Oryza sativa Japonica Group: one gene and its partner. The main gene of each other region encodes a partner of the protein of the gene in region 2 in a complex. Links are inferred from orthologs where the notes say so. Each region holds a gene or a part of one and is shown on either strand. Other genes may lie near its edges.

Region 1 (4,004 bases), on a different chromosome or scaffold from region 2:
CGCCGGCTTGTGGTCGATCTGCAGGCTGTCAATGCTGGGGTAACTTGCTGCTGTCCCGAAGCAAAAAACAACAATTTTCCAGTGTTGAAATCAATGTCATCCAACAATCCAAGACATGTAAAACGTTACCACTGGATGAATGATGCAAGAACAATGGTAAATGTCAGATTCAATTCAGGGTTCTCGTTCTTGTGGAGTCACTCACATTCAGATGATGCGGCTGCGACGAGGGCACACCACCCAGCTTCTGCTGCTGATACTTGCTCCCGTTCGCCTCCTGCAGGAGATCACCATTGAAGAGGCTGCGACAACCCTAGCTCCTCCTCCTCCTCAGACCATTTCCTCCATGATAGGCTCCCTCCGTGGCCGCGGCCGCCGCGTCCGCCCTCGCGCTCCTCCTCCTCCTCCTGTCCCGCTCGCCGGTAGCACGAGGAGCCGCGTCCACGTCATCACCTACCGCTCCCCCGCCGCCTCTGCGGCCGCGGCCGCGCTCCCGTGGATCGACTGGGCGCGCACGGCGTCGATGAAGGCGGCCCCGGGCTGTTGTCCTTCGCCTCCGATCCGGGCAGCGTGGGTCGGTCGCTGGCGCTGCTCGTGGAGTTCGCTCATGGTCGGCGGCGGCGAGGCCCGGCATGGTCGGGTGAGGCAAGGTGGGAAGTCACGCGGGCGGCGGGTGAGGCTCATGGTCGGCGGCGGCGGCGAGGCCCGGCATGGTCGGGTGAGGCGAGGTGGGAAGTCACATTGTCGGCGGCGGCGAGGCCTGGCATGGTCGGGTGAGGCGAGGTGGGAAGTCACGCGGGCGGCAGGTGAGGCGGGCGGCGTGGCTGGCGTGCGTTCTTTTTTTCGTTCTTTTTGGCGTGCAGTTTCTTTTTTCGGAGCAAGACGCGGTGTTAATCCGGTGCTAATTGTAACCGCAGGATTAATCCGGCGCTAATTGCAATCATGGTGTTAATTACACTAAACAACTCGTGCTTTTTATATTAGTCTAGATTAGAGTCCAAGTCCGATTCAATTAGTGTTAACTAATCGGGTGAGTTAATTGTTAGTAATAGTTTGGTTTAATCCTGGGCCGTCCGATCCATTTGTGTGTGGATCAGATCTGGACGCGTGGTGGTGATGTGATGCAATTTTCCGCGTGGGGTCCCTTGGTTCCTTCGTAATCAAGCTAGCCATGGGCCCACGTGCCAGTCAGAGAGTGGCTTGCGCACTGTCGATGTGCTGGGCCCACCAGTTTTCTTTGATGGGCCTAGATGTAATTGGGCCTTGGTGGATAGAGAGGAGGAGGAGAGAGAAGGAGAGGGAGAAGAGGAGGAGGAGGAGGTCGCCGGCGGCGAGGAGGGGGACGAGATCGCCGGAGATGGACATCATCTCGCAGCTGCAGGAGCAGCTGAACGAGATGGCGATGGTGGCGGTGAACACCTTCGGGACGCTGCAGCGGGACGCGCCGCCGGTCCGCCTCTCCAACAACTACCCGGACCCGCTCAACCCCGCCGCCGCCGCAGCAGCAAACCCTAACCCCGACGACCCCGCCCAGCCGCAGCCTGGAGCGGCGGCGGCGGCGGCGGCGGGAGCTCCGGCTGCGCAGGCACAGGCTCCGCCGGCGCAGGCCCAGCCGCCCGCGCTCGACCTCGCCGAGCATCCCAAGGCCATGAGCCACGCGCTCGTCCTCGCCGCCAAGAAGGTACGCGTCTTCCGTCGCTTATCTTCTCTGCTTGCCACCTGCTCGATGAAATGCCTGAGTGCCTGCTGGTTCTTGGGGTCTGACGCTTTAGGGCTTGGACTGTAATTTTTGGTGTGACCAGCCTTAGCATTTTTGTGTGATTGCAACCACGGTCAGGGTGCCTGGTTCTTTGAAAATTCTTCTACTTACAGAATCATATCTTCTATAGTGAGATTGTTCATGTAGTGTGGTAGAGTACTTTAGTTGCATTGTGCTGTTTTTTAGCCCTCTCGAGATAATTTTGAATGGATCTGCAAAATAGGAGCTTCACTCATATTATTCCTCGCAAAGAAGGGTTGACGATGATGTGGATCACACCAATCTTTGTACTGTTCCTCGCAAAATGTAGGTGGGATGATGGTATGCAGCACACCAACCTCTGTCTCCAGAGGGCAAACTTTGCATCTGAGAGTACACTTGAAATGTGCTACTAGCTACTGTTTCCAATACCGTTCTCTTTTTTTTTTGGTTTTTTTATGCAGTTTGATGCTCTTGTTTCTGCGTTGCCACTATCATCTGAAGAGGATCAGCTGAAAAGAATTAAAGAGCTACAGGTATGTCTCAGTTTTGCCCTCTGAGCAGTACATTGTGAAAGGGTGACATTAAGCTAGTGTCTTGTGAAGATGGTATCTTTGTGCATGTTTCCTTCTGTTTTTTTTTTCCTACGCCTTGTGGATGGAGTTTCATACTAAGGTTGTCCTCCTTAGTCGCTTGCTTTCTTCTGAATGAAGGTTTAGCAGACGCTCGGCAGCATGTCCTGCCATAGTATCAGTATTCATGATACTTGTGTCCTGCAGCTAAAATGCTTATGAATTTGAAATGCGCAGGCAGAGAATGAAGTTGTAGGCACAGAGCTTCAGAAACAACTGGAAGCTGCTGGTATGCTTTGCTATTACATTCTTGGAATATTTTGCCTTCATTATATAATTCCTCACCATGTTACAACTGATTATTTACAAGTCCAGTGTTTTACATGTCTTGTTGCTTTTGTAGAGCTGGAGCTGAAGCAAGTTGAGGCTCTTTTTAATGAAGCTACAGATCATTGTATAAACTTGAAGAAGCCAGAGTAATAGTTATCAATGTAAGTTTGGATTTCTCCCTTCACTATCTCAATAAATCTTTAGCTTTTTTTGTGCTTGCAAAAAATTATGCTTGCGCTTATGATATGGGATTATTTTGTGACCAGCTGTATAATCCGCTTGACTTCCCAAACTTGGTACACTGTATTATCAGGAAGTCAGGATACTGATAACAATTTTGTTCTTATGGTGCTTTTTGCAGTACAATATTCTACATGCACCATTTACTAGATGGCTGTTGGCATCATGTCCATGATCAATTATTGGTTTATGTAGTTTATGTACGATGATGGCCTGAACAAAACATAATTATGGTGGATGTTGACCTGTTATATTAATCCCTCGCAAGATGCTTTCATAAAACCCTCTGGGGGCTTGTCTTTCTGTTGATCAGAAAATTCCAACACAGTGTTGTTACGTATGATCGTAGTATCACTAAAATGACTTATGTTTGCTTTCCTGTCATATCAGGTAACGGAACCCATTTTGGAGTCATGAACAGATGAAGGTGGAGATGTGAATGCCAGCTGCCGATGCTACATGTAGACTCAGTTTTAGTATCAAGTTAGCTGATGCTCAACAATATTCCAGTAGTACTTGTTGGATTAGGAATTAAACCTAGCACTGTAATTTACAGTAACTTGAATAGTTTCAAGCTGGTTCGTTTAATCTGAAATAATTTGAGCATAACTTCATGTTTATTTATTATAGTTGGGCCACTGTTCGTTCACAGCAGCACAGGACCATATAGTGCTATGCAAATACAATTAAGACATGCCTAGGATTCATACTCTTTGAACTTTGAAGAACTGCACTGAAGATATGGAACAATATTATCTCGGTATAAAGCATTCCTCTCTAAAGATTACCCAAACATTGAGGCTAAACATGACTTGAATTCTAGCAACTCTGACACTGAAATATAGAACACCATATTTTCTAGGGGCACTTGGACAAACAAAACATCCCTTGAAAACTTTATTTGTCAAGCTCCAGAGATTGGCTGGCTAACTTGGAGCAAACTCTCAACTCAGGCATACTTGCAATTGCCAGAACCTGCAAAGGTTGGCAAGAAAGCCATGTAAATTTGCAGGATTCAGGTGAAAGAAACAGCAAGTGAAGCAAGCTTTGAAGAGGCTAATACTTACTGGGATCAGTGATGGTGATGAGGCCAGTGCCGTTGAAGAAGCAATTCCATGAGTTCC
Region 2 (3,892 bases):
GATAAAATTATAATATAAAAGATCACAAGGTCCGTAAAATGGTTGTAGAGAACTGTTAGCAGATTGGAAAGAGGAATTATACAACATTGTTACATGAACTGCTGCATATTCAATATTGCTTTTACGTGCGTACAAGAATTGCTCGACTAGCTTGCTAGGTGCTAGCCATTCCTTGCATGCCAAAACAGATACTGATTGTTCTGGAAAACAAGAGCTAATTTACTATCCTCCAGAGTATTGCAAAGTAGAGGTATCTCCTAGTTTTAATACCTCCAAAGGTCATAAAAAAACTCTTTCCACAATTACATTTAAAACATCCCAATTTCATGATGTTTGCTAATCAGCTCAGGTGCCTTCTAGAACGCTCACATAAAAAAAACTCAGTGATCTGTTTATGCATAATAGAATTGTTCCTCACACCAAGAGATGATTGTTTGTGCTTAAAATGCAGCTATGGAAATGGAACCATGTTCTCTTCTCGACTAGTTATTCAATTGCTGTGTCCTTTCTCCTACGCAGTGCAATTATCTACTCTGGAATTGTGCAGTTATTTCAGTTATAATGATTCTCTTCCAACATTTAGGAAAGACCAGAAACAGTTCAATTTCATTATTTCAATATTGTTTACTAAGAGATCTGGCAGATCAAAATTTGTTTACTGAAAAAAAAAAGGGGAAGAAACAATCGAAGCATCCTTACTAAATGAATTGGATTATGAATTACGAATCATTGCTCAACTGCATCGTATAATGTAACATTTAACGACTGTAAATGTTTACTGCAAAATGGAATGAGGGGAGGGGGGCATTTGACGGCGCATTACCTCGAACACATGATGTGCATCCAGAGACGAAGCTCCACTCCCAGCAGCGAGATCCCAAAGGCAAATCTTCTTATCATACGAGCCGCTCAGCAGCAACCCCTCCTTCATCGGACTCCACGCCAGCCCATACCCCTCCGCTTCATGCCCCCTGAGCACCACATCGGCGCCGCCCTTCTCGCCGCCGTCGCCAAGATGGTACACGTGCACCTCATCCACGCAGGTCTTGGTAGCCACCGTGTACGGCCTCTGCGGCATGCAGCGGGCGCGGTTGACCTCGCCCTTGTGCGGCACCGAGCGGGAGATGGACACGGACGGGGCCGGGACGGCACCGCCCGCCGCCGCGGCCGCCGCCGCCAGGCGGGGCGGGAGCGGGAGGGCGGCGTCGGCGAGTAGGAGGTGGTTGGGCGTCTCGTCGGAGGTGTGGGTGCCGAGGACGAGGCGGTGGGAGCGGGCGGAGCCCGGCGACCGGGAGTGGGAGGGGAGCCACTGGACGGTGAGCGACGGCCACTCGAGCGGCTGGGAGATGACGAGGTCGTAGAGCACCGGCGCGTTCTTCTTCCAGTTCTGGTGCTCCTCCATCTCCGCCGCCGACGACCTCGCCGCCGTGGAGGACCCGCCGTCCATGGCTCTTCTCTTGCGAATTGCGCGGGAAGTGGAGGCGGCGCTGTGGTGCTCTCCCGCCAAAAAGATTGGGGAGACGATGCGGCGGAGTCAGAAGAGATGGTGTTTTATGGCCGAGTTAATGGGCTTTTATGGGCCGTAAAGCCCATATAATACAATTTGGAGGCCCATTAGCCCATTAAGAGGAAATTTTGTCTAGTAGCTTCTGCCTCGCGTCCGTCTCCTGCATCCGCAGTCGCCGCCGCCGCCGCCGCGATGATGCAGTCGCACCACCCCTCGCCGGCGCGGCTGGGGCTGACGGCCTCGTCGCCGTCGCTCCCGCCCAACCCGGCTGCGGGGAATCCCACCTCCTCGCCGCCGCAGGGCAACCCTAGCGCGGCGGCGGCCGTGGGCGCTGCCGCTGCCGCTGCACCAACCCTAACTACATCGCCGTCGCTGCTGCCGCTCCTGCCGCCGCTCCCGCGGGCGCAGGCGCTCCTCCAGCTGATCTCCGCGCTCGCCTCCAACCTCTTCGAGCTCTCGCCGAGCCGCGCCGCGTGGATCTCGGCGTACCGGGGGTCACTCCCCACTTTCCTCCCCTCGCCGTCCTCCGCGCCGCCGCCGCCGCTCCCGGCCCCGATCTCCTCCACCAAGGAGGCGCTGTCGCTGCTCAACACGCTCCAGACCCAGCTCTTCGAGGCCGTCGCCGAGCTGCAGGAGACCCTCGACCTGCAGGACGCGCGCGCGCGCCTCGCCCGCGAGGCGCGCGCCAAGGACGCCTCGATCCTCGCCTTCGCCAAGAAGCTCCGCGAGGCGCACCACGTGCTCGACCGCCTCGTCGACGACTACGCCGACTACCGCCGCGACCCCAAGCGCCCGCGCGGCGCCGCGGCGGCGGACGACCCCGAGCCGGTGTCAGACGGCGACTTTGGCGCGTCGCTGCACTCCAAGCTCAACCTGGACGACGTCCTGACGTACGCCCACCGCATAAGCTACACGACCTTCGCGCCGCCTGAGCATGGTGCTGGGCTGCCTCTGCGTGGGGCGTTGCCGCCTGCTCCTCAGGAAAATGAGATGAGGATGTCGCAGCTGTATCAATTTGCGGATTTGGATGTTGGAGTGCCGAAATCCCAGGAAGCAAAGGAGAGGACTGCAGCAGAGGGAGATGCCACTCCGCTTTTTCAGCCTTCACCAACCCAGGAGGCAGCTGTGCTACCAATCACTGTGCCGCATCCGCATGGGTGGCGGAACGGGGCGCTGCCTCTCGAAATCCCGTTGCCGCCGCCTGGATGGAAACCCGGGGACCCGATCACTCTACCGCCGGATGGCATTCTGGCTGGTGTCAAGGGTGAGGAGCCACGGGCCAGTGTGCAACAGATGCCGGTTGTGGTGCCAGCAATGGTGCCGAAGGCACAAGAACCGATACAGGTTCGGCATGTTGATCTTGACATTAACAATAGTTCTAGCAGTGATGAGTACAGTAGCGACGTCGGGAGCTCTGAAGAAGATGATGAGGATTAGTTCCTTGGTAAGCTATTTTATGATTCATGTTTCCATGCCGTTGTAGGTCATGTACTAGTAAGAACAAATAATGCAAGCTCTCATACATGATTATTCAAGATCATGCAGCAATATACTGGTATTGAATAGAATTGGGTGGCGTATCATGTATGTGTTGATTAATTAAACCATCTCACTAGTCAATTTGCTTCGATATATGTAATCAAGCATGATGGTCTAATTTCCTCAGGATGTGCTGGTGTTGTATCGTCAGAAACATGGCTTCTTTTATGGATATTTAAACTTGAACATGGTGTGTTTAATGTTTGATGCCCTTCTTCACAGATTACAGGTTTCAGTCATAATTGCTTGCTAGGCTTGCTAGCTGGTTATGGGCTTTTCAATCAAGTAATGACTTCCATGTTCATGCACTCTGCTTAATTTTTCTCATTGTTTTACCTTATGTCTGTACCTCTTATTGCTGCAATATAGTTTGAAAACCTTTATACCATTGTACCAAAGAGTGGTAGCTGAAAACTCAAGAATGTTCTATAACTCAAGCTATATAAGTTATGAGAAGGGAGTGGTTTCAACTTGTAAGTTTGCACTTAAATGAACACACCATTTTTCCTATCTTATTGCACAGCATGGGGGATCTTCCTACTACAAACATGATACTAGTACTATAGGTCTTAGTTTTCATTCACGAGCTTATCTTGCAGATGATAAAGTAGTAATTGACTCAAATGGGTTAGAACTGCCAAAGCATCATCAGAAGTAACTCCTTTTATAATTTTATTGGTGCATATCGCATCTTTATGTACTTTTTTTTCCCAATTCAAGAGCTGCATGGTTATCAAAGCGGTCTCATCGTAATTTCAGTAGCCTTAGCAGGGTTTCCATCATAAAATATTCAATAGACATTGATCAGTTCTCTTTTGGGTATTAAGATATCATGTGACTTTGGAT

The links.
Region 1: mediator of RNA polymerase II transcription subunit 4 (region 2) and mediator of RNA polymerase II transcription subunit 21 share a complex: the UniProt entries of both Arabidopsis thaliana proteins name them as parts of the mediator complex. The link is inferred for Oryza sativa Japonica Group from reciprocal best matches to the Arabidopsis thaliana genes AT5G02850 and MED21.

The regions. Positions count from the first base shown.
Region 1 is NC_089042.1:2,025,008-2,029,011, reverse strand, and holds mediator of RNA polymerase II transcription subunit 21, read left to right. Parts: upstream 1-1,242; 5' UTR 1,243-1,357; coding exon 1,358-1,681; intron 1,682-1,982; exon of another isoform or gene 1,983-2,065; intron 2,066-2,202; coding exon 2,203-2,274; intron 2,275-2,547; coding exon 2,548-2,599; intron 2,600-2,713; coding exon 2,714-2,790; 3' UTR 2,791-2,801; intron 2,802-3,270; 3' UTR 3,271-3,504; downstream 3,505-4,004. Other genes in the region: major pollen allergen Ole e 10, read right to left, coding at 3,830-3,855, 3,948-4,004. UniProt on the Arabidopsis thaliana protein: Component of the Mediator complex, a coactivator involved in the regulated transcription of nearly all RNA polymerase II-dependent genes.
Region 2 is NC_089043.1:25,716,156-25,720,047, reverse strand, and holds mediator of RNA polymerase II transcription subunit 4, read left to right. Parts: upstream 1-1,624; 5' UTR 1,625-1,699; coding exon 1,700-2,944; 3' UTR 2,945-3,265; downstream 3,266-3,892. Other genes in the region: histone-binding protein MSI1 homolog, read right to left, coding at 824-1,447. UniProt on the Arabidopsis thaliana protein: Component of the Mediator complex, a coactivator involved in the regulated transcription of nearly all RNA polymerase II-dependent genes.